7 linked regions of the Coturnix japonica genome follow. The protein of the gene in region 1 interacts with the protein of each later gene in a pairwise test. Links are inferred from orthologs where the notes say so. Each region holds a gene or a part of one and is shown on either strand. Other genes may lie near its edges. The genes, in order: DISC1, EEF2, GNB1, CEP170, KIF3C, NEFM and TRIO.

The links.
Region 2: the proteins of DISC1 (region 1) and EEF2 interact in a two-hybrid assay, tested with the Homo sapiens proteins (2 studies listed by BioGRID and IntAct). The link is inferred for Coturnix japonica from reciprocal best matches to the Homo sapiens genes DISC1 and EEF2.
Region 3: the proteins of DISC1 (region 1) and GNB1 interact in a two-hybrid assay, tested with the Homo sapiens proteins (2 studies listed by BioGRID and IntAct). The link is inferred for Coturnix japonica from reciprocal best matches to the Homo sapiens genes DISC1 and GNB1.
Region 4: the proteins of DISC1 (region 1) and CEP170 interact in binary tests that used the Homo sapiens proteins (3 or more experiments, as listed by UniProt). The link is inferred for Coturnix japonica from reciprocal best matches to the Homo sapiens genes DISC1 and CEP170.
Region 5: the proteins of DISC1 (region 1) and KIF3C interact in binary tests that used the Homo sapiens proteins (3 or more experiments, as listed by UniProt). The link is inferred for Coturnix japonica from reciprocal best matches to the Homo sapiens genes DISC1 and KIF3C.
Region 6: the proteins of DISC1 (region 1) and NEFM interact in a two-hybrid assay, tested with the Homo sapiens proteins (2 studies listed by BioGRID and IntAct). The link is inferred for Coturnix japonica from reciprocal best matches to the Homo sapiens genes DISC1 and NEFM.
Region 7: the proteins of DISC1 (region 1) and TRIO interact in binary tests that used the Homo sapiens proteins (3 or more experiments, as listed by UniProt). The link is inferred for Coturnix japonica from reciprocal best matches to the Homo sapiens genes DISC1 and TRIO.

Annotation. Positions count from the first base shown.
Region 1 is NC_029518.1:35,652,806-35,656,797, reverse strand, and holds the start of DISC1 (disrupted in schizophrenia 1 protein), read left to right. Parts: upstream 1-1,192; 5' UTR 1,193-1,269; coding exon 1,270-1,345; intron 1,346-1,376; exon of another isoform or gene 1,377-1,493; intron 1,494-2,159; exon of another isoform or gene 2,160-2,237; coding exon of another isoform or gene 2,238-2,262; intron 2,263-3,992. UniProt on the Homo sapiens protein: Involved in the regulation of multiple aspects of embryonic and adult neurogenesis. Required for neural progenitor proliferation in the ventrical/subventrical zone during embryonic brain development and in the adult dentate gyrus of the hippocampus.
Region 2 is NC_029543.1:792,036-796,265, forward strand, and holds the start of EEF2 (elongation factor 2), read left to right. Parts: upstream 1-1,430; 5' UTR 1,431-1,555; coding exon 1,556-1,558; intron 1,559-2,077; coding exon 2,078-2,292; intron 2,293-3,223; coding exon 3,224-3,405; intron 3,406-3,490; coding exon 3,491-3,702; intron 3,703-4,230. Other genes in the region: E3 SUMO-protein ligase PIAS4, read right to left, coding at 172-198. UniProt on the Homo sapiens protein: Catalyzes the GTP-dependent ribosomal translocation step during translation elongation.
Region 3 is NC_029536.1:1,629,005-1,633,138, forward strand, and holds the start of GNB1 (guanine nucleotide-binding protein G(I)/G(S)/G(T) subunit beta-1), read left to right. Parts: upstream 1-1,334; 5' UTR 1,335-1,651; intron 1,652-2,183; exon of another isoform or gene 2,184-2,353; intron 2,354-4,134. UniProt on the Homo sapiens protein: Guanine nucleotide-binding proteins (G proteins) are involved as a modulator or transducer in various transmembrane signaling systems.
Region 4 is NC_029518.1:31,700,207-31,704,170, reverse strand, and holds the start of CEP170 (centrosomal protein of 170 kDa), read right to left. Parts: upstream 2,801-3,964; 5' UTR 2,605-2,800; intron 1,669-2,604; exon of another isoform or gene 1,555-1,668; intron 1-1,554. Other genes in the region: SDCCAG8 (serologically defined colon cancer antigen 8), read left to right, coding at 3,269-3,335.
Region 5 is NC_029518.1:95,741,717-95,745,216, forward strand, and holds part of KIF3C (kinesin-like protein KIF3C), read right to left. Parts: intron 707-3,500; coding exon 605-706; intron 473-604; coding exon 350-472; intron 1-349.
Region 6 is NC_029537.1:2,110,435-2,114,723, forward strand, and holds the start of NEFM (neurofilament medium polypeptide), read right to left. Parts: upstream 2,801-4,289; 5' UTR 2,748-2,800; coding exon 1,683-2,747; intron 1,489-1,682; coding exon 1,364-1,488; intron 255-1,363; coding exon 1-254. UniProt on the Homo sapiens protein: Neurofilaments usually contain three intermediate filament proteins: NEFL, NEFM, and NEFH which are involved in the maintenance of neuronal caliber.
Region 7 is NC_029517.1:54,052,804-54,056,303, reverse strand, and holds part of TRIO (triple functional domain protein), read right to left. Parts: intron 3,172-3,500; coding exon 3,144-3,171; intron 2,246-3,143; coding exon 2,083-2,245; intron 38-2,082; coding exon 1-37. UniProt on the Homo sapiens protein: Guanine nucleotide exchange factor (GEF) for RHOA and RAC1 GTPases. Involved in coordinating actin remodeling, which is necessary for cell migration and growth. Plays a key role in the regulation of neurite outgrowth and lamellipodia formation.

The sequences.
Region 1 (3,992 bases):
TATGACAAATTGATCTCTGAGTGATGGGAGCTAGTACTGATATAAGCTGACATCATCTGAATCAGCAGCAGCACTGCACATTTGATGAAAGGAGGATGTGTGTCTATTTTTGGCTTGTGAGGCACAGCTGTCTATTATATTGTCTCATAAGTCAGGAAGGGCAGAGCCTGGAGTATGAGGTTACATCTCTCTTAACACGTCCTGTATTTCTTAATAAATGGACTGAAACACAAGAATATCAGTAAGCTCTTAGCTGTCAACTAAAGCGAGGCTTTTCTGTAGCAGTGTCTCTGAATGTCATAGAAACTTCTCAGCACACAAGGTGATGTTTTAATGTATGGTAGCACTATGCATAACTGAGAAGGCACCTTTGAAGTCTAGGATGGAGGGCACCTTGAAAAATGCTTAACATGAAATTAATACTGAAAAATGGTTGATATAGTGAATATGGTGATAGCCAAGGAGTGATTCAGGTTGGATAACAGGGAAAATGTCTTCTCCCAAGGAGTAGCGAGGCACTGGCACAGGCTGCCAGGGAGGTGGTGGAGTCACCATCCTTGAAGGTGTTCAAGAAACGTGGCACCAAGGGATGTCATCTAGTGGGCATGGTGGGGGTGGGCTGATGGTTGGACTGGAGGATCTTAGTGAAGTTGTGGTTTGACTTCAATGGATCACAGACTTGCAAAAGTAATAGCGATAGGACAAGGGGGAATGATTTTAATTAAAAGATTTAGATCAGATATCAGGGGAATTTTTTTCGCTGGGAGAGCAGTGAGGCCCTGGCACAGCTGTCTGCCTGGAGGTACCTGAGGCCAGGTTGGATGGGACCCTGGGCAGCATGAGTTGATGTGGGGCAAGAGGTTGGGGCTGGATGGGCTTTAAGGTTCCTTCCAACCCAAGCTGCTCTGTGACTCTATGAGAAGTAATGGAAGCACACACAGTGCAGACACTGGTGCCAAGTTGAAACTACATATAGACAATGAGCAGCGTGTTTCCTCGTTGTGTGCGTGCCGTGCTGAATTCAGAAACGATCTGCAGTCGGGGCTTCGGGTCCCAACCTCCATCTCCCCCTGCTAGTCCAAAGCCCGTACGCTGCAGGCTTGAGGCTGCCCCCGGCTCGCAGGAGGCCGGCCCGGAGGAGGGGCGGCGGGTGCCGTCGTGCGGGCCGCGCCCCGTGGCTCCGAGCCGCCGGGGGAGTGGCCGGGGCCGTCGCTTTCCGCCCCGCTCGACGCGACCGGGGGGAGCCGCTTCGTCCCGCCGGGGGGCGGGATGTGGCGGCCGCAGCCCCGTTCGGACGGCACCGACAGGCGGCGCCGCGGCAGCGGGAGGGAGGAGACCGGCCCAGGTGAGCGGGGCCGGGGGCTGAGGGGCGGCCCAGCGCCTGGGAGGGGGGCCGGGGGCCGGGAGCGCAGCGGGGCTGTAACGGTGCCCGGTCCGTCCCGCAGCGGCTCTCCCCGAGGCAGGAGGGGCTCCGAGTGGGATCCGAGCTTCGGGTGGGTAGGGCGGCTTTGGGACGCTCGGTGCGGGCGGAGGGGTTAGATACAAAGACTCGTTGCTTGCTTCTTAGTTTCAAACCCGCTTTGCTTGCTTAGTTTTCACTCCCCGGAGTTTTTGTCTTGGCGAGGGTTAGCACGGTGTTGCCTAGGAAACTTTGTTATAACTCTGAAATAACACTTTTTTTTTTTCCTTCCTCCTTGTTTTAACCCCAAAATTCCACCTCTGTTAGTGTGGAAGCAATTATATTACTACATAAATGTGTGTGATTTGTAGGTTTGTATGTATATACACAAACATATATAAGTGAGTGTGTATATGTATATACATCTACATAACCAACTGCTGTGAGGGAAGTAGACATGCTCTTAGAAGTCAGCAGTCTGGTATCTCCGAACTTGGTTTAAAAAGGAAGCTGCCATATTCGTGGGGAAAAAGCCACGTTTGTGTGTCAGTCCTTGCATAAATGAGCACTGAATGGTGTGGCTGGCAGAGCAGGTGAGCTGCTCTCCCCTCTATTGCTCAGCTGTCAGCCTGAGCAGGAGTCATTTCTGATAGTAGTACCGGTGAGGGGCTGGAGCTGTGGGTAACACCAGAAAATAGCTCGATCTTCTCAAAGGGATTCAGAAGGGAAGGCGTAGAATGCATCAGGCACATCAGCTGACTTTCTGGCTTTTTTGGATACACAGTACTGCAAAGCAAAACTTCCTGCAAACACTTGAGTTGTCCTTGCCAACATCTCAATGGAGAGCAGCTCATTGATGTTGGGTAATCCGTGCTAATCTGTGTGTACATGTGTTTGAGTAACTTTTTGCTGTGCTTCTGAACAGTGCTTTAAGAGCTCTTTAGTGAAGTGCCTTTATAATAAAAGCTTTTCTATGCATATAAGTGAGCATATACTGGCAAGCACTGCTGGCAATTGAAAATAGAGTTTTGAAAGAGATGCATAAACTACCTTGAGATGCATTATCTCTGTTCTTGTCTCTTCATATTTGTCCGTTTACTTGCTAATTTGCAATTGGCCTTTCAGTAACTTGTGAAAATGGAAGAAAAGTTCCTCTTTATTCACTTTTGTGTTGTGTAATTTCCAAGTCTAGGTAGTTATTTCATATCAGTGTTCCCCCATATTATTGCTGAAATCAAAGCTGTGGTTTCTTTTGGGAAGAGACTGATGGTGGTGTTACAGCCCGAGTTCCAGTCATCATTTCCTATCAATAGGATTTTTAGGCAGTTTTGAAACTAAGAAGAAAGGTGTTTAAATATGTGATTTAAAGAGACAACTAGCTGAGCTTAGAGGTCTGTGATCCTCTAAAAAGTGGGACTGGTGGATGTAAAGGAACCCACAGATGTTCTGTGCATTTGATATTGTCGGTGTCCATCTCTGTGTGTTTTTTCTTGCTTTGTGTTGCTGTTAAACTTACTCATTTTTTGTGTAGTTCCTTTAGATTGGCCAGTGAAAATAACCTACTGGCATACACTGTACTACTGAGTTACACAGCAGCACAACACTCTGAAGTGTGGTCATAGACAAGCACTGTATTGCCACTGGCTTCTTCCCTCTTTAACTTCACATAAATCAACCTTTGTTCCCTTCAGCAAAATGAAGTCAGAAAGTTTGGGCCTAAGACGCTGCCTCTGGAATTGTAGTGGAGTCGTGCAAGAAAAGAGGATTTATTAACACCAGTATGAATTAATTGTAATGAACAGAAGGACGGAAAAGCACCGCAAACAATGTTTTGTACTCACAAAAGCAGAGCACCCTGAAGGTTAATTCTGACTTTGTTCACAAATTAGGCACACTCGGGTAGGTTTTTCTTTTTGCTCACCGTAGCTCAGGCCTCCTGCAGCTCTCGAACCACCTGACCTCCCAGTTGGGATCTACTGGAGTGTGTGGTGCACCCTGAGTGCTCATCAGGAGTTAGGATTTTTCTTTTCATTTTGGCATTTGGTTTTCTTGAGCAAATGTTCATCCCAATTGAGTGGCGGGCAGTCTGCAGCCTTTCCTGCTTTTGGATGTTGTACATATTAACACCTCCTGTGACAACAGCTTTCCTTGCTTCCTTTGGAGTACCAGGCCCAAAGGTAAACAGGGAGGAACCTGTGGTGTTGCCATAGAGATTTCCGAGTTCATCCTTAGCTCTTTGCAGAGAGCAGCCCTTTCTTGCTGTGTCACCTGGATTAGGATTGAGCCTGGGGTATGCTGTAATACTACTCAGTGTTCTCGAAGGCAAACTGCTGCAAAACCCTTATGTGTGAGGGATGAATGTGTCCTTTGTAAATCAGCAGTCACACAGGAAAAACTTGGCTCTCTGGTACTGAACAAAGGCTGCTGTGCCTGTGTGAAGTTCTGTAGTATCCTTGTTTGGAGGTGCTTACTTAATTCAGTGTAACATTTAACAGTGTGCTTTGTGCTCTGTTTTGTCATATAGGCACAGGTTGTGTTAATTGCTCACCTGAAAAGTGCTGTCAGGGAGAGATGTTTCTTTACCAAGTCTCCC
Region 2 (4,230 bases), on another chromosome or scaffold:
GGATGGCGGGGAGGGGGGGGGCGGTCCCGGGGTGCCGCCCCCCAGCTCCCACCCGTCGAACCGCCCCGCCCGCCGCCGGTTCCGCGCTGTGAGGGGCGGCAGCTGAGCCCTCATCCCGCTCCCGCCCGGCCCGGTCTCTCCGAGCCGCCTCCGCCGCCGCCGTTCACTCACTTTGGCCTCCACCAGCTCCGCCGCCATCTTGGCCTCCAGCGTCCACCGCGCCGGGAGCCGCCGCCGGGTCACGTGACGCCTAGCGGCGAGGGGAGGGGCGCGCGGGAGACGCGTCGACCAATCAATTTCGAGTTCCTCACCTCGGAGGCCGCCGCCGCAACGCGCAGGCGCAATAGAGCCACCCCGCCCCGCTCCGCCTTCCGGGGGTCTTAAAGGGACCGCGCCCCTAAAACGGGACGGAGAGGATGGAGGATGCGGGGATGGAGGGAGGACAGCAGAGCTAATGACAGCTCTCCTGCTTTCTTTTCTTTACCTGTGGGCTGCCTTACATGGGTACGGGGAGAGGGAAGGGGACGGGTTAGGACTGAGGGTCATTATATGCCTATATGTGCTTATAGTCCCAGCTTCTGAGCATGGTGATATTTGTAATGTATTTAGCCTATGGGAGCCGGTGATGGGGATACCTGCCTGGCTGCCTTTCAGCCTAATTGACATCACAGACAGTGTGCTCGGACTGGCTTACCAGTGTCCTGAGTTCCTTACGTATGGCTGGGGTGTCAGGTTGGGTGCTGTGTTGTCAGTCTCTCTGAATACAATCCTAATAACAATAATAATGGGGTCCTAATCCTAATAATAACAATAACACAATGGGGCCAGCAGCGTGTCCCTAAGTTGCAGTGAGGCTCATCAACTAGAAAACATCACTCAAAACCCATCTATTGATAGAGGGATCAGAGGGCTCTATAGATAGAGGAATCTATTGATGTCTCAATAGAAGACCTCCAGTTTTCGAGCTGATATTTGCGCTCCATAACACAGACATCACACTACTTCCATCCCGTGCCTCCATTGCAGCCCCCTGCCCACCCCCGCTCCTCCCGGCCTGCAGGGGGCGCTAGTGAGCTCCATGCCCTCCGCAGTTCCGGCCGGTGCATGCGCACCTAGTCCATAGACGCCGCTATGGGCGGTGCTCGCCCAGCCCGGCCCGGTGCCGCTTTGGACGGCCCAGCGCTCCGGGTAAAGGCGGAGCCGCTCTCGAGGCCTTGAGCAGCGCCCCGGGCACGTTGTCCGGGTTGTACCCGCTGTGACCGCGTTGTTTCCGCTGCGGGTTCTGAGCGGGGACCGCGTGGATCCTGACTGCGGCCCTCGGAGGACCTGACCGCCCGACCATAGAGCTGCCGGCAGCGGGGGGTGCTAGATAGTCGCATCTGCGCACGCGCACGCGTAGGCTCCTCCTTCCGGCCGGCGCCGCCCTATAAAAGGGGGGCGGTTGACGTCAGCGTTCTCTTCCGCCCGCTCTGCGCTCGCCAGCGAGACAGGGCCGCCGCCACCGCCGCCATTGCTGTAACCCCCCGCCCCGGAGAATCCGCCTCCATCCGCCACCATGGTGAGGCCCCGCGTCCCGCCGCCGTTCGGATGGAGCTCAGCGGGTCCCGTGTGGGCTGTGCGGGTGGGGATGTCCGCTCCGGGAGGGCCGGGAGGGTCCCGCTGCGGGGCGAGGCCTAGCGCTGCGTCCCGGGCCGCTGTGAGGGGACACGGGTGGGGCCGGGGCCTGGTGGGGCGCCGTTAACCCGGCGCTCCGTGTATCCCGTAGGGCTTTAATTCCCGGTGCTGTGATGGGGGCCGGGCAGCTCCCGGAGCGATTACGTAACGCTGCGGCTCCTCGGTTTCCCCCTTTAATTAATGAGGGGTGAGGATGGAGGGGGGGCTGCGGTGCATTGAGCGCTGTCAGTGCGGGGGGGTTTGAGGACACATCGCTGGCTGCTGCAGTGCCGGCCCGGCGCTCTGCAGTGCCCTCAGTGCTTCATTCCTTGAGGTTAAACCTGACAGCGCCACGTAGGAAGAAATGGAGCTTTGCTGTTACGTAGCTCGTCTCCCATTCCTCCCTTCTTCCTTTCTTTCCAAGGTGAACTTCACGGTAGATCAGATACGGGCCATCATGGACAAAAAGGCCAACATCAGGAATATGTCAGTGATCGCACACGTCGATCACGGCAAGTCGACCCTGACTGATTCCCTGGTGTGTAAAGCTGGGATCATCGCCTCTGCCCGCGCGGGGGAGACCCGCTTCACTGACACCAGGAAGGACGAGCAGGAACGGTGCATCACCATCAAATCGACGTGAGTGCTGCTCCTTCGGGTGCCCCCCTGTTCCCATCGCACGGACTGACCCTGGGGGTGCTTTGAATCCTACCCTGGTTTCACCTTGAGATGAAGATGATCCCATCAGCCTTTCTCTTGTCTTGTTGTTCAGAGGTTTAGGTTTATTTTTCTTCCCTGCGTGGATTGCTTAAACAAAGGGGCAAGTATTGATTGCCCTGTGGTGAGTCACTGAGCGTTACCTTGATGGCTGCTGGGAGATTGACGTGCTCCTGCAGTGTGACTTTGGCCTCCTGTTTCTGGCACCAGCTGTGTGTAATGGCGCTGGTGGCTGTGAGGTTTGTCTGGTGAGCAGCTGACCTCCTTGGGAGTGTCACTGCCTGCAGGTCCAGCTGCCTCACCATGGACTGATGCTGAGGAGGTGGGAGGGACCAGAAGGGATTTAGGCTGGTGGGAAAAGCAGCTGAGAGGAGGTGCGCTCTATTTGGCAGCTCACGATATCAGGGGGTTATGATTTCAGGGAAGCATAAAAAGCAGAGGTTTTTGTGGATGCTCCTGAGCATCTTCCCCACTCGCCTCTCATGATCATTTCTTCCTGTTATGGGAGGTTTAGGTTGGATCTTAGGAGGATGTTTTTCACCCAGTGGGGGGTGATGCACTGGAACAGGTTGCCCGAGGAGGCTGTGGATGCCCCATCCCTGCAGGCATTCAGGGCCAGGCTGGATGTGGCTGTGGGCAGCCTGGGACCCTACACACAGCAGAGGGTTGGAACTGGATGAGCATTGGGGTCCTTTTCAACCCAGGCCATTCAGTGGTTCATGAAACCCTGGAAGCTGGATGCAGCTGTCTGAAAATAAATAGTAAAGGATACAAGAATGTTTCTAACTGCTTTTGCTTCAGAGTGTTGCAGAGGGGCAATGGGGTGATACTAACAGCTCTTTTTCCCTTTCAGAGCTATTTCTCTGTTCTATGAGCTCTCTGACAACGATCTGGCATTCATCAAGCAGAGCAAGGATGGTTCTGGTTTCTTGATCAACCTGATTGACTCTCCTGGGCACGTGGATTTCTCCTCGGAGGTCACTGCTGCTCTGCGTGTCACTGATGGTGCCCTGGTTGTTGTCGACTGCGTCTCTGGTGAGGTTTTTGCAGCCATGTGTGACTGCAACCTGAGTTGGGTTGATCTGAAGGTGAGGAGAACTAATTGTCCTGTGTTGGGCAGGTGTGTGTGTGCAGACAGAGACTGTGCTGCGTCAGGCCATCGCTGAGAGGATCAAACCTGTCCTGATGATGAACAAGATGGACCGGGCACTGCTGGAGCTGCAGCTGGATCCTGAGGAGCTGTACCAGACCTTCCAGAGGATTGTGGAGAACGTGAACGTCATCATCTCCACGTATGGGGAAGGAGAAAGCGGTCCAATGGGAAACATCATGGTGAGTGAATGGCTGTGGGTGCCCCTTCAGCAGGAGGGAGCAACTGTGTTTGGTAGCAGTGCTTTCCTCCCTCCAGGGGAGGAGTGAGGCTGGAGAAGTGGAGGCACCCATGCAATGAAGAATAGAAACACAAGTGTGCATTCTGTCTAGGAAGGGGTCCTCCTCTTGAAAGGTCTTTCCTTGCTCACCTGACACGGGGCACAGGCCCTGCACTGCATGAGGCTGGATGGCACTTGGGGATGTTGATCCCTTCACTCCCTGCTGGACTCTGAGCTGAGTGCAAGGCCTGTTCAGCTGCAGGTCCTGAGGAAACCTTTGTGCTTTGTTGCTGTTGAGAAACAAACGAATCGTAGATTTTTCTACTGGTGTTTCCATTAAGGATTACAGTCTGACAGGTCTAAGCAGATGTTGAGCCAGTCAGTCCCTCTGGGCAGGTGCTGTCACAGAAGTGCTCAGTGCTTCTGTAGCTCTGAAGCCCCACCTTCAGGCTCTTGGTGGAGGCTTGCAGTGTGTTTGGTTTGCCTGGGC
Region 3 (4,134 bases), on another chromosome or scaffold:
GTTATATTTCTGTGGTGACAGAATAGCATCAGTTTGGGGGTCTGGTTGGAGAGTCCTTTATTCTAATTTCTCAGGACAAAGAATTAAAGCCTTTGCTCAGCACTTGGCATATTTAAGGACAAGCATTAGATTATCATAAAACAAAGGCTTAACCACACCGGGATTGAACAGTTATTCCTAACAGACACCTGGAATGATAGCTCACCCACTTCCCTACAGTTTAATGGACAAACCTCTTGTTAATTACAGGTAATCACACCTGCCTTCCCAAAAAACATGATAGCAAGTAGCAGTTCAAATCTGCTCCTGTAGCAAGGCATCTCCTCACTGCCTGACTTAACAAAGTATAAGCAAATGGTGGAGGGGGGAAGGGAGGGAAAGGGATATAGATGTGCTGATAGGAAAAAGATATGATGCAATTGTGTACTTACTTTCCATCAATAAGTAATGATGTTTTAATACGTGAGTGCTGCTGTGATCCCATCTTGTGAACCTCTCTCCTGATTCAGCTGGGGGAAGTCTGCTCTGTGAAACAGAAATTGGATTTTTTTGGGGTTTTTTTGTGTTTTTTGTCTTGCTCTTTTCTGCAATGCCTTACAGAGATGAGCGTTTGTGGGGAGAATATGAAAACAGTGATAAAATGGGGGAAAAAAACCCCAAACCCTGAGAATTCTGGCTGTGCAAAAACCTTTGTGATACGAATTCATAAATAATAATAAATAAAAAACAGGAAGTTGTGAGCTGTGTTGTACCACAGCCTGAAATCTGTGAGGATAATACTGTGACACAACAGGGGTTCGTTTCTTTCCAAGGCCTCGAGCCCCATCCCCTACCATTACACCTAGCAGCCGCCAATTCTTACATTTAATGCTCTTTAACCGAAGTAAAACGGTGTGTGCTGCTCCTCCAAACCTCCCTTTGTCCGTTGAAAAAGCAAAAACAGCGCTGTTGATTGTTCTTTTGCTCCGTTTTCACACGCCCCGTTTAACTCTATGAGGGGACGCTGTGAGGGGACGCTGTGGGCGCGGCAGCATGGCGCGGCGGGGCAGAAAGCGAAACCCGCCCGCGCCCTTTGTTCCTGCTACGGGGAGGAACCAGCGGGAGGAGGCGGCGATGGTTCGAATCTCCCCTTCCTGTCAGCTCAGCCTTCCTCACCGACTGAGTTTGACTGACTGAGCAGCGGCTGCCGCCTTCGAAGCAGCGAGGCCCGAGGCGCAGCTCAACGCCGTCGGTGCCGGCGCCACCGCCCGTAGGGGAACGGAGCGGGGCGGAGCCGGGGGCCGGCTGCGGGGCGGAGCGGGGAGCCGAGCCGAGCCGGGGTTTCCCGGCCGGGCAGTCACGGGCGGGGCGGAGGGGGGGGGAGGTTAACCGCGCCCAGGCTCTTGCTTCCCGATGGCTGCGGGGAGCTGAGCGGGGTCCGAGTGTACGAGGAGGAGCCGAGACCCGGTGGTACCCCCGCCCCGCTCCGTCGCTCCTTCCGTGTCTACGCCCCGGCCCGCAGCCGTTCTGCCTCAGGAGCGCAGCGCGGGCGGCTTCCCCCCTCTCCCCTCCGCCGCCGCCCCTTCCCCTCCTCAGGCCGGCGGGGACGCGGGCAGGAGCCGCGGGCGACGGCTGGAGCGGCCCTGTGGATGAACAGCGGCCGGAAGGGCAGGTAACCGTGTGAAGGGACGCAGGGTGGCGGGCGGGGCGGCCATATAGAATCCTTTGGCGTTCCTATCTCCCCGCAGGGAGTCGAGCCTCCTCGTCGAGCCCCCCGTCCTCAGCGCGGCCCCACCCTGAGGCCATCTTCCCTCAGCGCTCTCCTCCATCCCTGGTTCCTTCTTCCTCTGCGTGGCTGCGCCCTTCCACCCCGCTCCCCTCCCCCCGTTCTTCCCCATTGCTGCCGCACTTCTCTTTTCCCTCCTTCCTCCCTTTTTTTTGTCGTTTTTTCGCCTTTCCTCGCCCATCTTCTCCGTCTCCTCAGCCCTGGGCGGGAAGGGCAGCTCGGCGCCCTCAGCATGGCGGGGTGGAAGGACCCCCCCTTCCCCCGCTTTCCCCCATCGCCGTTCGAGCCTCCCCTAAAAAAGAAGCGTGTTTAGAGCCGGGAGAGGAGGAGGAGGTGGAAAAAAAGGTGGGGGTGGCACCGCTGCTCTCCCGAAGGCGAAAAAAAAGAGAGATTGGGGGGGGGGTGGGTTGGATTTTTGTGGGGTTCCATTTTTAATGATCCTTAAGGGTTGGGGGGGTGAGGACGGTGTGAGTTTCCAGAGGGATCGAAGCGACGGGAGGAGGAACGTTGGGAAGAGAGAGTGAAGGAAAAGAAAGGAGCTGTGGTGTGGCTGCTGTAATGGTGGAAAGCTGACGGAGAGAGAGGAGGGTGAGGCACATGCGGGGTGAGACGGCTCCAGCCCTGCGTGTGGGGTCCTGGGGGGGGGGAACGAAGGGAGGGGGACGGGCAGAAAACGTTTTGTTCCCGTTAAAATGGGAGCCAGGATGCGTTTTGTTGGCACATCCTCGTTCCCCCCATCGCTCTGCATATCGCTGTGCTTGTAGCAGCCGTCAGGAAGATCATGGAGGGTGTTTCCTGCAAGAGGAAAAAGGAGCTTTTTTTCTCCTTGAAGATGTTAATACCGCCTCTGCTCCTGCTTTATTATCGATGGTTTAAAATCTGGTTTATTTCGTCTCCTTTTTAACCCGTGGATTGGGGGTTTTAAATGGGAGGGTTGTTATTTCGTGCTGTGAATTACATTAAAGGGGGAAAAAAAAGAGCCTTTTAATTAAAGAAATAACCCAGCAAGAAATCCGAACGATCTAAAAGATGTCAATTTATTATTCCCGAGGGCGATCTGAAATCTTAACAAACGTGATGTTTCATTATTATTCTTTAGCCATAGGTGGGACTGCTTTAAAATAAGGCATTCTTATGCCACGTTATTATGTATTGTCCCCACAGCAGAAAATAGGAGGAAAAGGGATTGAATGTGAGGGGTCCTGGGGATGGCTCTGGGGAATTGATGCCTCAGCTCGGAGATGGAAAAGCGAAAAATTCAAGGTTTTGCTGCCCCTAATCGTGAGACTTAGCCCTTATTTGAAGCTGATCTGGCAGCCACAAGGATGTGTGCATGGAGACAAAACGCTGCCGATGTGTGTGAAATGCATTGCAGAAAACGCAGCCTCTCTTCAGCTCTCAATTGGTTCGAAATGTGACATCTTAAAGGACTTCTCCCCCCCCCCCCCCTTTGTGCTTTAGGAGAGGAGAAAGAGAAGGGACGATAATAGTGTGGTTGTTTTGGTGGCTGCCGATTAAACCAGGGTGTGTGTTTGATTTTCTTTTCGCTGGGAATGAATGGATCTTTCTGTGCCTGGGCCCAGTAGCTGCAACAAGATGGCGTTTGCAGCAAGGCAGCTCTCATTTTTCAACTCCTCCTCACCACAGCTTGGCCAAACTCGATCTTATTTCGTAATTGTATTTAGATTTACTTTCTCGTTGGGTTTGCTTGCTTCTTTTTTTGGGGGTTAAGAGGGGCAGGAGGAGCGTTTGGGAGATTATTGCAAGAAATCGGTGGGTTTTTGTTTTATTCTTTTTTTTTTTTACGTTTTTTTGTGAGCCTTTCCAGATAGGAACTGGGTGGGAGGAGTAAATAGTTTTAGTGTAACATTCACATCGGCCGTTCCTGGACAAAGAGGTGACACAATTTTGAGGTTTTTATTGTGTTTTTTGTGTATTTTTTTTAACCTTGCAGTTCCTGCTTAATACCATCAAAATGTTCTTTGTTTTTCTTAAGCCTGTTGCTGGAAAAAAATGGTATTTTTAACCTAGAAGACAGGTATGCAAAGGCTTTCCTGCCTTTGTGCTGCTGGTTCCTGCTGCTCAGGTAACAGCCAGGTCTCCTGCAGGCGGTTCCCTCCATGGAACATCGAAATCTCCCATCGAAATCTCCCATCTCACTCAGTGCTTGTGGTGGGCGGAGGCTTTTTAGGCTTCTTTTGGCCCCAAATTGTTACCATCCTTCTGTATTTTTATGGGTATGAGTAAGAAAGGCTTTAGGGATATTAAAACAGTTCTGTGTCTCTGTGATACTGTAAGATAATATGGAGATTTATGATATTATAGCTTTGAATTTATTTTTTTTAAGGACCTTGGGTTGATAATTTTGG
Region 4 (3,964 bases), about 4.0 Mb from region 1:
AAGAGCCTGAACAAAGCACTGCAGCATCAGGAGCCATCCAATAAAATATCTCTGATGGTTTTATTTGAAGTTTCTGGGGCAAACTGCTTTTGACATAATGCAAGATTAAAATAAAGCACATTAATTTAAATGTGCTTTTAAATTAATTTAAAATTAATTTACGTGTTGGTTGGTTGTTTTATTTTTTTGAAGATCAAACAAAATTTGAAATAAAAGTGTCTTATGGCCTCTAACTATAAATGCATCTCTAAAATAAAAACAGCCTCCCAGCTTAAAAGAGGACACGTTGGAAGAAACTATATGATAAAAGTGAACCAAACATTTGTGATTTTAATATTTTGTTGTGTCTATACAGCAGACATACACAGAACTGATTAATTAAGTAGTTTGTGCTTTCCTCCCAGCCCCATTTGCATACATTATACCTTACAATTCAAGCCATGTGACCACGCTCTGTTTTTCCCAGGACAACCGGCTCATTCAGCACACTGCGTGGTCTCTGACCCACAGCAGCACGAGCGCTGCACACAGAAGGAAGCTGCTATCTGCACATCACGCCATCGAAGATGTTCAAAGAACATGACAATGCAAGATACAGCAACAACCACAGGACCAGAAGGAGCGCAGGTGCTCTGTACGAGCATTATAAACTTGGCAGGCAGCAAGAGACACCTCCCAGACTCGCTTGGCACAGCCATAGGACGCTGTAGAAGAGACATGCACCTGACTTCAGCAGACAGAAGCTCCATCCCTCACAGACAAAAGACTTTCTTCCCTCATCTGCAGCTTCCTGGTCCCAGCCACACCAACATTTAGCACAACAAGCAGCACGTTCTACAGAGAGCGGCTCACAGATGTCAGAAGCAGATAAAAGAATCTGTGCCATGATGCTCTCCTGCCCAACATTTTCTATTGAGAAAGCAGAATTTCAGATTCTGTTGGCCTTTTGGTTTAAGTAAAACTAGTCTGTTTTCACTCCAGTGTCATTCTGCCTGCAGAGCCAAGGAAGGTGGTGCTGATACTGCAATAGTTCTCTTTAGGGACCCAAGCAGACATAGTGGTATCCATTCACATTAAGTACTTTTCCCCTCTGTTTGCAAAAACTAGAAATGGAACTTCAAAATCAGTTTCTGCAGCTACCCATGTATTAGATTGAGCTCTTGTCACTCAGGGAAGCTCCCAGCTTCCACCTGCAAGCGTACATCAACTTTTGTAGTTCCCTTTCATAACTTGGCTCTTTTCCAGCTCATATGTTACCAAGAGAACTGTTAAAATCCTTTATGCCACGTCTCTCACAGTCCGGAAGCACAAGATAGTGAGAAACTACTCTGATTCACAAACCTCAGCCTGAGCAGATAAGGGAGGCAGGCGGCACCTGCAAAACAACTGGAACAGTCATCAAAGAAATCCCTGTGCTGCCACAAGAAAGGAAGCTTGGTAACAACTTGTAAACCATAATATTTCTCTTAAAAGAATGAGAAAATATTTGTATCCGATCCCTTACAAATAACTTTTAGGTAGTTGAGAAATGAGAGGGAAAAAACACAATAATACCTCATTGCTTTGCTTTGGATAGATTTCTATGCATCTTCAGCCACGCTCTTCTCCCCACCCAGTGAGGTGGCTTTGTGACCCCTTTCAGACAGAACCGTTGTTAAATAGAATTCGAAGCTGAGCAGCTCCCATGGTGACAGCTCAGTTCCCCGCAGTTTGGGCTCCTCAGCATCTGGACAGCAATTCCCAGAGGAAATTAATCACAGGAAATCGCTGCATATGCGCTCACGCCTCAGCTCAGTTTACACAAGGAGCCCCATCCCACACAGGCGAGCTCTGGGCCAGCAGCGCTGTCAGAGCGGCCCTCGGAAGGCCATGTCCACTGTCTACCACGGTGCCAGCAGCACGTTTTCGTCTTACAAACCGCTTCAATATTTATTCGTAGCAAAGAAAACACCTTCACACCGCCGTGCGGCGGCTGCTCTCTGTGTTCCCTGGGCTGTCACAAGGGGGCTGCTCTTTTTGTCTCCCGTTCGGCAGCATCGCACCCACAGCCCGTGACGCCGTATCGAGCAGCACGGCGCTGCGGGGCTTCGGTAACCGCGCCATCCCGCCCCGCCCGGAGCTTCGCGGGCCCCGTGAGGGCCCCGACCGCCCGCGAGGAGGAGGGGGCGGCCGTGCCGCGCTGCACCAAGGGGAGAAGCGAGGACACACGGGAGGACGGCGCGGAGCAGAGGAGCCTCCTGGCCTGGCGGGCTGCACAATGGGGAGAGGGCGCAGGCGGCCGTTCTCCATCAGCCGCCCTGTCCGTCAGCTGACCGCCGTAGCGCGGACACCGCCGCCGAGGGCGCGTTGGGACCCGAGGGAGGCGCGGCGGCGGCTCGGGGGGTGTGTGCCGGCGGCCAGGGCCGGAGGGGCGGCACCGCATCCCGCCCCGCCGCCGCCCCACGCCTCCCAGCGCGATGCCGAGGGCGGATGGAGGCGGGGGCGGCCTCCGGGCCCCGCGGCTACGACCGGACTCCGCGTTGCGGCGCGCGGCCCGCCCGGCACCCGCTGACACAATGGGCGGCGCGACCCCGGCCCCGCTTCTCCCCCCGCTCCCCCGCTCACCCCTCCGAGGAGGCTCTCCGCGCCGCGGGGACGACCCGCTGCCGATAGCGGCGGCTCCGGCTGTTCGCTGAGCGTGCGGCCCCGCTGGGCGGGGCGCTCCGTTCCGCGTTCCTCCGGCAACCGCGGCAACGTTATTCCCGGCACATAGCGGCTAACGGGCACAGCCGCGCCGCGCTGCGCAGGCGCCGCCCCAACTCACACAATGCGGGGGGGGCGCGAAGGGCGGACGGCGCCGCGCAGGCGCGGGGGGCAGAGCCGGGGGAAGCGGAGCCGCGCATGCGCCCCGTTCAGACAATAGCGCGGCGGGCGCCGCCCCTCGGTCTGAGCGGGGCCTGCGCCGCCATCAGCCGCTGCGGGAGCGGGGACGTGGGCGGCAGGAGTGCGCAGTGCGCAGGCGCGAGGGCGGCGTCAGCGCCCAGCCACAACAAAGAGGGGAAGGGAAGCGGTGCGGGTCCCCGTCATGGGGAGCGGGTGGGGACTACGCCTCCCAGCGTGCACCGAGCGGCTGGGGGCGGGCTGTGTATCGCGTGTACCGGGGTGCGGCTGGTGGTTGGTGTTGTAGCAACGGGAGGGAGCTCGTGCGAGTAGCGGTTCTTCAGTGCCGCGGGGCAGCGCCGGGAAGTTCGGTGCGCGTCCTTCCTTCCTGGCGGTCGGTGGCGGCCCGATGCGGGCGCCTCGCGGGCAGCCCGCCCTGGAGGAGTCCCTGCAGCGCTACCAGGCGCGGCTCCGAGGTGAGCGCGGCGCTGCGGGCGGGTGAGAACGGGCCGCTCCTGCACGGCCCGGCACCGGGTGGGAGCCCGCCGGCGGTCGGACGCGCTGCGGCTCCTGCCGTGCTGCCGTGTGCTGCTGTGCTGCGCTCCGCTGTAGCGGCCCGAGGTGGCTTTCCTGAGGTTTGGGTTTTTCATCAAGTGCTCGCGGGAGTCGGAGCTTCTAGTGAAATTAGAACGAACTTGGAAGTGTTTTGTCTGGTGAGCTGTGACTGCTGTGACGGGCTGTTTGTCACGAGTTGCAGCTCTCTTGGTGGTTTCTGAGGTGCTCTGTAACGAACTTCACTGAATTATTAAGGTTGGAAGAGACCTGTTGGATCATCCGGTCAGCTGCCAACCTGTCCCCATCATCCCACTAACTGTGTTTCTCAGTGCCGCATCCACGCAATTCCTGAATGCCTCCACCGCCTCCTTGTGCAGCCTGTCTCAGTGCATTACTACTCGTCTTGAGAGTGAATTTTTCTTAATGTCCAACATGAGTCTTCCCCGGTGCAACTTCCCTCTAGTCCTATTACTAGTTATGCATGAGAAGAGGCCAACCCTCTCCTCACTACGATCTCACTTTAGGCAGTTGCTGAGAGTGATGAGGTCAC
Region 5 (3,500 bases), about 60 Mb from region 1:
GGTGTAATGGGTGACCCCAGTGGCACTGGAGCCGCCAGGACATGGTGGCATGACCTTATGGCACAGATGTCCCCAAAATATGGTGGTATGGCTGACCCCCAGGCACTGGTGTCCTCAGGGCATGGTGGCATATGCATCCCTGGTGGCACAGGTTACCCCAGGGCATGATGACATGAGTGTCTGCAGGGCACGGTGGCACAGGTGTCCCCAGTACCATGCCTGGAGCATCCTCCAGGGCATTGGGTCCCCATGGATAGTGGGTAGGACATATGCCCCCAACTTTGAGACATGAGCCAAAGGCAACTCCACATCCCTCCCCACCCGAGTGAAGCCTCCCTGGTTCTCTCACCTTCTTCAGTTTTTTGGTCTTGATCTCCACCTCCTGTTGCAGGGATGTGTAGGTCTCCCGCAGCTCCATGGTCTCCTCATCCCTAAGCAGCATCTCCTGCTGCATCTCCCTCTCGCGGCGTTTCTGTAACCAAGGGGGGGTTGCTCAGTGTTGGCTTGGGCACTGACCACCCCACGGACCCCCTAGCCCCACCATGGACATTCTGGCCCCATGGATGCTCCCAATCCATTGGGACTGGGATGGATGGGGTACTACCTGCTCAGCTATCTCTTGCCGCTTCAGCTCCAGCATCTTCTGCTGCTCATTGGTGTGGTCCACGATGGTCCTGCCGCCGATCAGCAACTTGCTCTCCATGGCCTGGGGAGGGCAGATTGGGGGGGGTCAGTGCATCTCATGGAATCACTGAATCACAGAATGGTTGGGTTGGAATAGACCTCAAAGATCATGAAGCTCCAACCCCTCTGCGGCATGCAGGGCCACCAACCTCCCCATTCAATACCAGCCCAGGCTGCCCAGGGCCCCATCCAACCTGGCCTTGAACACCTGCAGGGATGGACGGGGCATCCACAGCCCTTCTGGGCAGCTGTTCCAGCACCTCACCACTCTCTCTGTAAAGAACTTCTCCCTGATATCCAACCTAAATCTTCCCTCCCTCCTTGAACTTCAAACAAATTCCCCTTGTTGTTACTACCTACCCTTGTAAAGAGCTGACTCCCCTCCTGTTTATAGGCTCCCTTTAGGTACTGGAAGGCTGCAATGAGGTCACACCCCACAGCCTTCTCTTCTCCAGGCTGAACAAGCCCAGCTCCTTCAGCCTTTCTTCATAGTAGAGGTGCTCCAGCCCTCTGACCATCTTTGTGGCCTCCTCTGGACCCTCTCCAACAGCTCTTTATCTTTTACTGGGGGCTCCAGACCTGGACACAGCACTGCAGATGGGCCTCACAAGGGCAGAGAGAGACAATCACCTCCCAATCCCTGCTGGCCACCACTCTTCTGATGGAGCCCAGGATACCATTTGCTTTCTAAGCCACAAGAACACACTGATGACTCATGAGAAGTTTTGAATCCACCAGGTCCTTCCCTGCAGGGCTACTCTCAAGAACAGCTCCTTCCAGTCTCTATATATGTCCAGGATTCCTCCAGCATCTCTACAATGTACTGTCCAAGGGTTCAAAAACTCAGACACAAGGTTTGAGTGGTTCTGGTACAGCCAGGAGTTGAGCTGGATGGTCCTTAAGGGTCCCATCCAACTCAGGATATTGTATAGTTTGGTGATTCTGAGCCCCCCCCCCCAACCCCATCCTGCTCCCTGTACTGATGGATGCGGCGCCGTGGGGACGTGGCCAGGGCTGCTGGCTGCTGGCACAAACCCAGGGCTGCCTCACTCCCACTTCCTTCCGCACAGCTGCAAGCCCGCGGGGCGCCACGGATGTGCAGCAGCTGCCGGCAGTGCGGAACGGCGCCGGGCCATCCGCCCCAGCTGAGCTGAGCCAAGCCGAACTGTGCCAAGCTGAGCTGAAAAGTGCATCCCAACCACAGTTTGCATCCCACGGTGCTTCTGATTTGAGCTCCCCACTCCAGCTCTGCCAGGATGCCTGAAGGATGGCACAGTGCTGGGTACAGGGGGCTGCCATTGCTTTTTTGGTTGACCCAGTCCCAGCCTGTACGCCCACACCCCACCCCAGTCTCATCCATTCCTTCTCCTCATCCCATCCAGTCTCATTCCAACCCCATTCTCCATTCCCATCCCATCTTCTCCTAACCCAACCCCAATCCCATCCCCATTCCATTCTCCATCTCCGATCCCCATCCCCATCCTCATCCCTCAGTCCCATCCCCCTCCGCATTCCAGTCTTCTCAAATCCCTTATTCCCATCCTGCCCCACCCCACCCTCACCCCAGTCCATCCCATCTCAACTCACATTCTCATCCCCATCCCCATCCCTATACTTCACCCCTCATCCATCCCACCATCACTTCTTGTCCTATCCCATCCCATCCCACCTCAACTTCATCTCATCCCAACCCCCCCCATTCCACCCCACCCCATCCAACTCCATCTCACTTCATTCCAACCCATTCTCCACCCCTCCCTATCCCGTTCCATAGTTCCATCCACCCCTACCTCTCCACCTCCCACTTTTCATCCTAACCCACCCCATCCTACCCCTCCCAATTGCATTTCCCTTCCCCCTCCCCAGGGCAAACGTGCTCCCCATCACACAGCTGTGCACACACATCACTGAGCGCGCACACACACACACACACAGTTTTCTTTCTGTTTTTTACACTACATCACACAGCGACACCTAACACACATTTCTGCATGTCCACGACATTTGTGCACACACGAGCGCACGCTAATTTACACCGCTGCACGCATACATCCGCACGCCCACGTGTGCTGGCATTTGTGTGCATACACACACACATTTACACCCACACATCTGCACACACCCTTGGACCATGGGATGTGACAAAGGCTGTGCCCCCCCGGGACCCCTTCACTGCTGTTTCCAAGCAACCAGGAGACACGCGGGCGGTGACGTGGTGCAAAGGGGGGACAGCATCTCCTGGGCACGGAGGTTTCTGGGGCAAACCCACAGAGCTGCATGTAAATTATCTGGGGCAATACTGCATTTTCCCTATTATTCTCCTGTTTTTTTTTTCTCCCTTCCCAGCTATTGCATGGGTACTTTTGGCATGCAGCACCTGCAGTATGTGATGGTGAGCTGCTATGGGGTTGAGAGGGGCCATAAACCCCACAACCAGCTCTGCCCCACCCTGCTGCTGCAGGAATGGTCTTTTGGTCCTGTTGTTTTTCTCCCTGCAGAAGTGTTTGTTTACTGTGATGAAGACGACGCTCAATCTTCCTTAATACAGATGAACCCTTAAGCCTCTCACTGCAACCCATTTCCTGCCTCCAGATAACTCCTCCAGCACTGGCCTGTGCCCTGAGCTCCCAGGATTGTGGTGCTGACATTACAGCCCATGGCACTGTCCCCCTGTGGCTACACCATGGATGTGGCAGATGCTGGGAGCTTTGCTTTGAGATGGAGGCTGCTGCCTCCTCTGGATGGAGCGCATCCGTCTGAGCAGGACAGTGCACATCTGTCTGCCTGCAACAGTGCACATCTGTCCGAGCAGGATG
Region 6 (4,289 bases), on another chromosome or scaffold:
GAGCCTTTGCTGCCATTTCTTCTGCGATAGATGCAAGGGCATCTTCCATTTCAGACTTCTCATCCTCTACTTTTGTCTCTTCGATGATTTCTTCTACAAATTTGTGCTGGACCTTCAGCTTTGGTGGCTCGATTTTGGTTTTCTGTATTTTAGTGGAGGCTATTGTGACCGATGGTTGTCTGTGTGTGAATATGGGTCCAGTGATGCTTCCAGAGAAGGCACTGAATCTTGTCTCCTCACCCTCCAGCAGCTTCCTAAGAGAATCAGGAAGGAAAAATAGTGAGCATTAGAAACCCAACCTACGGGACAATGTTTCTCTCTGTCAGCAGGATGAGGTCAGCGCATGTAGAATATGCTAGAGAAGACCAGCACTATCCATCGCTCACAGCCCAAGATCTGCTTCTCTCTAATCAGCTCTTTCAGTAAATTCTTACTGAACAAGCACCTTTTGGCTTGCTTTGCATGTAGCAAGCATATCACCTTTAGCTGAGCAGTTGAAATTCATCCTTTGCATCAAAGAAAGTGATTAACTCCATAGGACGCATCATGACTCAGGTGAACTGAGAATGGAATGGACCCAAATGGAACATCATTGCTGAGACTTTCAAAGCCAGCCAAGCATACACCCAAGCTCATTGTAGGCACCCCCACCTCTCTGCTTTTAGCCATACAATGGGGCTGCAGAGCAATACAAGTCACATCAGGCAGCAAAGAGCTGCAGAGCCTATAATGCCTATGCTTGCCTCAACAGCCTCAAGTTCACAGAGATCTGAAAGCAGCTTTCTCTTTTGACTGTTTTCATATTCAAATGTATATTTTTCATCTAAGCCTCTGACCCAGAAAAATCAGCAGTTCTGATGAGGTCTCTGAAGTGATGCAGAGAGACCAAAAGCCTGCCAGGTGATGGCAATAGCACACAGCTTTCCTGCTCCAGATCAGAGTGCGTGACAAAGGAAAGTTGAGCAAGAAAAGCAAAAGTGTTTGTGACAAGCAGGTTAGCGCTGCCTGCTTAAACCATGATCAAGCAAAGCACAGCATCTCTCCCAAGTGAGAAAAGTGACAAGCACCGCTTGCAAGGCATATGCAAAGTAAACAGGAATTAAAAATAAACTCATCTACTGCAAAACAGGCGCAGGGTGCAGCACTGAGGTGCAGTGTGCATATAGGGAGTTCTGCATTGTCCTCCTGGCTGCAGACACTTTTGAGTCTGTGCATTGTGAAAGGGCTGCAGTACTTCAGTCAAGCTCTAATTTGGCTCGTGTTCAACGCATACAGATACTTCTCGCTGGTGGTAAAGCATCTCAGAGCAGCCTCTGCAGTGCTATTAATATTCCAGACATGCCCACAACGATCCCCCTGTTACCTGTATGCAGCAATTTCGATATCCAGGGCCATCTTGACATTGAGGAGATCCTGGTACTCCCTCAAATGACGCGCCATCTCCCACTTCGTTCCTCTGAGCTCATTTTCCAGCTGATGGATCGTGTCCTGCAGCCGAGACAGAACAAACCATCACGACAAAGACATAAAGAAAGGGAAAAGGGGGAAAGAAAAGTTGCGGCGAGACTTTCCTAAAGTCCTTCCCACCCACTGGGCGGCAGCAGCGGGTTGGGACCGCACCCCCGGCTTTCCCCCCACCCGCATCCCGCAGCCCCCAGCCCGCACCCCACTCCCCGCAGGACCTGATAAGTGGTGAGATCGTTGTTGTGACGTTCCTCGATGTCGCTCAGCTGCCGCTCCAGCGACTCCTTGGTGCCACGCACCGACTCCAGCTCGATGCTCTTGGACTGCAGCTGCCTCCGGTACTCGGCGATCTCCTCTTTAGCGGAGCGAATGGCTTCCTTGTTCTGCTCGGCCGCCTCCGTCAGCTTGGCGTAGCGGCACTTGAACCATTCCTCGGCCTGGTGCATGTTGTGGTCGGACTGACACTCCAGCTGAGCGCGGATCTCCTTCAGCGCCGTGGTCAGGTCCGTCTTCAGGTAGTCCTTCCTCTCCACCGTAGCGTGGGACGCCTGAAGCTGAGCCAGCAGCTCGGCCACCTCCTCCTCGTGGTTGCCCCGCAGAAAGGCCACCTCGTCCTGCAGCGACTGCACCTTCTTATCCAGCTCCGCCCGCATCAGCGAGGCCTCCTCCATCTCCTTACGCAGGGCGCGGATGGTGGCCTCCGTTTCATCTCGCAGCCGAGCCTCATCCTCGAAACGCTCCCGCAGCCTCTGGATGTCCTCCTCGATGTGCTCCGAATCCAGCTGGATCTGTGCCTTCTCGTGGCTCACCTGCTCCAGGGCCCCGCGCAGCTCCCGCAGCTCCTGCTCGTAGGCATCCCCCAGCTGAGCCCTCCCGGCGTGTTTCTGCCGCAGCGCCGCCAGTTCCGCTTCGATTTCCTTGTTCTGCTGCTCCAGGTAATGCACTTTTTCGATGTACCCCGCGAAACGGTCGTTCAGCCCTTGCAGCTGCTCTTTTTCATTGGAGCGGCTCAGCTTCAGCTCGGCCGCCCCGTTCAACAGCGAGGACTGACTCACGTCGAGGCTCTCTGCGGAGCTCAGCACGGTGGAGCCGTAAGCGGTCCGCGGAGCCCCGAGGTTGGTACGTTTGTAGGACGAGGATACGGTGCTGCCGGAGCCCCGAGACCACGACTGAGAGCGGAATCCGCTGGACGGGGACGCGCTGGCCCGGCTGTACGTGGCTCGGGTCTCGGTCATCACCCTGCGGTACGAGGGGTTGCCCAAGGGCTCCATGGTGTAGCTCATGGTGGGGGCACTCGGGGGGTGGCGGACGGAAGCGCAGCGCAGCTCTGGATGCCGCTGCCCCTTTTATAGCCCCGCCGGGCGGCTCCGGGGCGGCCCCACACACGTGTGTGAGGATGTATCCGCCCCCGACCCTGCCTCAGCTCCGCCCCTCAGTTCCGCCCTCCCTTCCGCGCCTCCCTCATCCCATCCCTTCCCGGCCCCCGCTCCCAGCTCCCGGCTCCCCGACCCCCGCTCCCCCTTCCCCCTGCACCCTCTTTACCCCCTTCCCCCCTACCCGCTGTTTCCCATTCCCTATTCCATATCCTCTTTCTCCTTTCCCTATCCTTATCCTCCTTTTCCCATCCTCTTCTCTCTTCCTCTTTCTCCCTTCTTCCCTTCTCCGTGTTCCTTCACTCATGCTTCAGCCCCCTTCTCCCCTCACCTTCCTTTAGATCTTCACTTTCTTTCCTCTTTCCTCTTTCCTCTTTCCTCTTTCCTCTTTCCTCTTTCCTCTTTCCTCTTTCCCTTTCCCTTTTCCTTTCCTTCTTTCCTTCCCTTTTTTCCTTTCCTTTCCCTTTCCTTCTGTTCTTTCTCCTCCCCCGCAGTGGCCATGGCGGAGCGCAGCGCGGTGCCGGAGCCCGCAGGGTAGGGCCGGGGCCGGGATCGGGGGTTCAGAACCACGGACAGCTCCCCCGGGGGTTCAGCACCACGGACAGCTCCCCCGGGGCTCCGTCGTTGGCCCCGGGCGGGGGTAGGGGTGAATAGAGGGTCCCATGGGCAGCCCCCTCCTCATTTCCCCCCACCAACTCCCCCCGCCCCAGTTCCCCTTCCTCAGGCAGTGGTTGACATTTGAAGGTCATAAAAGTATCCGGGGAAGGGAGACTGCGTGGGCTGCGGGCGGATTTGCAGCACTGCAAGCGCTTTACCTCCCTATGGGGTAGGGGTTGCAGGTTGGGTAGTGCTGGAAAGCTCCCTGCAGTCCTGGATCTTGGTTCTTTATCTCGCTTTCATCCCCTTTATTCCTCCCCCCACCTTACCTTTCCACATAACGCTTGGTGCATTGCTTAGAAATGACTTCTCCTACTTTGAAACATTGCTAAGAATGATGTTTACACGGTGCAGTAGACTTTCTGTGGGCTGCATACGGTGACTTGCAGTAGCTAACAGCCAGACTTTGAACTCCTCGTGGATGGATCAGCTACATGGGCAGTGGATCAGTAAACTGGAAAATGTATAGATATATAAATAAATAAACTGCTGGCGCTAGAAAAAAAGCACTGCACTGCTACAGCTCCATTGCATTTCAGAGCTTTGGGGGGGTAGGTTTTAACTCCTCGTTTGGAAAGGTGCTGAAAACACGTCTGCCTGTATTCAGCAATCTGTGAGCTTTCAGTTGATTTGCTAAGGGACAAAATCCTACCTCAAAATTGCTTTTCGGCACACACAGCTCGTGGTGCTGCTACTGCTGTTGTGGAGAGTTGGGGAAGTCTGAGGGACAGGGTTAAACTTTGCAAACCACATGGAGTGCCGGACCTCTGCTGGCTCATTAATATGATGCTGTCA
Region 7 (3,500 bases), on another chromosome or scaffold:
GACGCCAATGATTTTCAGTGAAGCTTCTCCTAAGTCACTGGGAAATACAATGGCATCCATAAACTTTATATTCAATTTACAGACCTTGAACTATGGAAATTATACGAAGTTAGAGTGATCACATTAATACTTCTTACTGTACAGGTCCTATGCTCTCTCTTCACAAACGTTAAATCTGTCACTGCTATTTCAGAAGTGTCTTTTGAATGAAAAACTGAACATGAGCCATTCGTGTGCTCCTGCAGCTTGGAAGGCCAACATTACCCTCGGCTCCATCAGAAGAGGGGTGGCTAGCAGGGACAGGGAGGTGATTGTCCCTCTCTATCCTGCTCTTGTGAAGCCCAATCTGGAGTACTGCATCCAAGTCTGGGGTCCCCAGCATGGGAAAGATGTGGAGCTGTTGGAGAGGGTCCAGAGGAGGGCCACTAAGTCAGAGGGCTGGAGCACCTCCTCTATGAAGACATGTTGAGGGAGCTGGGCTTGTTCAGCCTGAAGAAGAGAAGGCTGCAAGGAGACCTCATAGCATCCTTACCAGCATTTAAAAGGGGATTATAAACAGGAGAAGAATCAGCGTTTTACAATGGTAGACAGTGATAGGAAAAGGGGGAGGGGGAATGATTTTAAGTTGAAGGAGGGAAGATTTAGGTTGGATGTTGGGGAAGTTCTTTACTATGAGAGTGGTGAGGTGCTGGAACAGGCTGCCCAGAGAGGTTGTGGATACTCTGTCCCTGGAGGTGTTCAAGGCCTGGTAGGATGGGGAGGTTGGTGACCCTGATGTGTCAGAGGGGGTTGGAACTTGATGATCCTTGGGGTCTCTTTCAACCCAAGCCATTCTATGATTCTAATGTTGCTACTTCCAGAGCATTCAACTCTCAGTGGAGACAAGAAGAGCAGTGCAAACACTTGGCAGGCCTTCCCTAGGGTTTTCAACTCTAAGGCTCAAAACAGCCCTAACACTGTGTTGTACACTCACAGTACAGCATATTTTCAAGATTTTCTATTGTTCCTATTATTTGCCTTTGGATCTCAGTTACTCTGAGTTATTTGAGTGCTGGCACAAAAACCACTTGCCATGGTCTTTACCCTGCCACATTTCTGGGGAAATATGAACATGAATTTTAGGAACATGGGAAAATGACCTTCCTCCACAGCTCAAAGGATGTTCAATTATTTTATACTAAAATCTGTCAGCCATAACCAAAATGATTTACTGGTTATAATTCTGTAAAAGTAGTCATAGAATCATGGAATGGTTTGGGCTGGAAGGGACCTTATATCCCATCCAACTCCAGCCCCCCTGCCACAGGCGGAGCTGCCAACCAATAGACCAGGTTGCCCAGGGTCCCAATTCAACCTGGCCTCAAAAGCCATCAGGGATGGGCCATCCATAGCTCCTTGGGGTAATTGTGCCAGTGCCTCACCACCCTAAATGGTTCACAATATGTTAATCCTAGTGAATTTAGCTCTACTCATCTCATAATGGTTGTGGATGCAGTAGTACAGCTATCACAATGCCCTTGTCTCCCCATAGCAAGTACATAGGCTAGACATTTCTTCACACTGAAGTTACTCAGTAAAGAATATTTACTGTAAATAAATGAATGCTTTATCAGAAAAAACCCTTCTTCAACAGGCAATTTAGGATTCCAAAATACAGTAATATCTGCTATTACACATTTGTTTGAATTACCAGTTAGTCTGTTCAGTTCTATTATAGCAAAGCTAAAAACAAACAAAAACATTTGTTTCCGTGCTTCAATTATGAAGATGGTAGCACTGTCATTTTAATAGGAAACAGAAGTTTTTCTTTGCAAAATACTATCGTGTGATCATTCTGAAAGCAGTCATCTGCCCTCAGAATGATGCACACTACTAACAGAAATAAAGGACTGGCAGTGTGGCATGTCACAGCATTGAAATGTCACTCTTTTATTTTTGAGATGTTCAGTGTTGAGAGGAAAAAGAGGAGGATATAATTAAGAGCGACACCCCAAACCTATCAAACCAAATAAGCCACTGAGGTCACTGACAATGATTTTACCTTTTATGACAAGGAAATGTACTACACAGTAATTACTGTACCTGTACGAAATGCTGTGATGACCGTCATTGCTCAGTGTGTTATGATCAGGACCTTTCCAAGTAACTGAAGCCTTGGGACGACCACAGACTTTACACCTAAGCACGATGGTCTCTCCTGTCTCACATGTTACCTCACTCAATGGTATTATAAACTCTGGGGGAACTGGAAAAAAAAAAAAAAGAATATTAATAGCATTAGGTCAACTGAAATTCATCAGTACAATTTGCATTTCTACTCCTTTCATCTTCTCTTTTCTATTAGACAATCTAACATAGCACTTAAAATCCAGAGTTTATCTATTCTTCTACCCTTGGATGATGTCTACAGCTACCTCACTTTCTGAAGCTCTGTAGAATTAATAACTTTTCCTCTTCATGAATTAACTTAATTAAACTTAAACATGATGCTACCACAATGCCAGGTAACCCTGAAGTCTACAGTGGTGACCCAAACACTCTGGGCCAAGTAAGCTAAGCAAAGCCAGCAGTGAAAAGTATTTAAGGATGTGCTCAGCTAGGCAATCTGTGTAGCCAGCTGTGTTTGCAGAAGGGAAGACAAAACATCTCATTTACTGAGGTACTATATTGTTGTTCCTTTTTGCTTACAGGTGAAACTCAAGAAGCTGACTCTTGTCCCAGTGTCACTGTATTTCTCCTGATCAGCCTCTGCCCTGGAGAGACTCTGAGTGTTTGCTAGGGAACAAAGAGCAAAATGAAGTGACAGGTCTCCAACTCCTGACCTCCTTATTTTGCAAATTCAGCTTCAATGCTCAACTTCCTTACAGTCTCAGCACAGATGTGGTAGAGAGTGTAAATCTTTCTGAACAATGTCATGTGATTCTTATATTTTATGATGTTTTGGATATGTAAACAAAAATGCCTTCCTTTCATCTTAAAATAATATGTCATATTTTGTTAACACCCTCCAAAATGAACTTGCTTATATTTTCACTAAAATACTCAGTTTCTGATGTAATTCATGTTAAATACATTTCAATAAAGTAAATGATGTTTCAATCCCATTACATTTGCTGTGACTTTTAAAGATTAAAACAACTTACCATCATAAATGTAATTGGGGTTGAGAAGCTGGAAAGGAGAAATTAAACAATTAATGTCTTTGCAAATGCGTTATAAAAGAATTGTAGAAAATAAAGCACAGTGGTTGGAAGAAGTCATCTGTACCCACGAGTGCCCAATAAACAGAAGAATGCCAGAGTCCCTGTACCACTCTACTTTTTCATCAGTATCCATATGCAGTATTGTGCCTGTGCATTAAGATACCTTATAATCTTGTTGTAATATTGATAAACACCATCCATTAAAACCACTGTTGTTTCTAACTTCTTCACGTGAAGTTCTAACAGAAGCTAGAATTAAAAGCAAGTCTGAAAGCAATTCTAACAGAACTCCTTTTG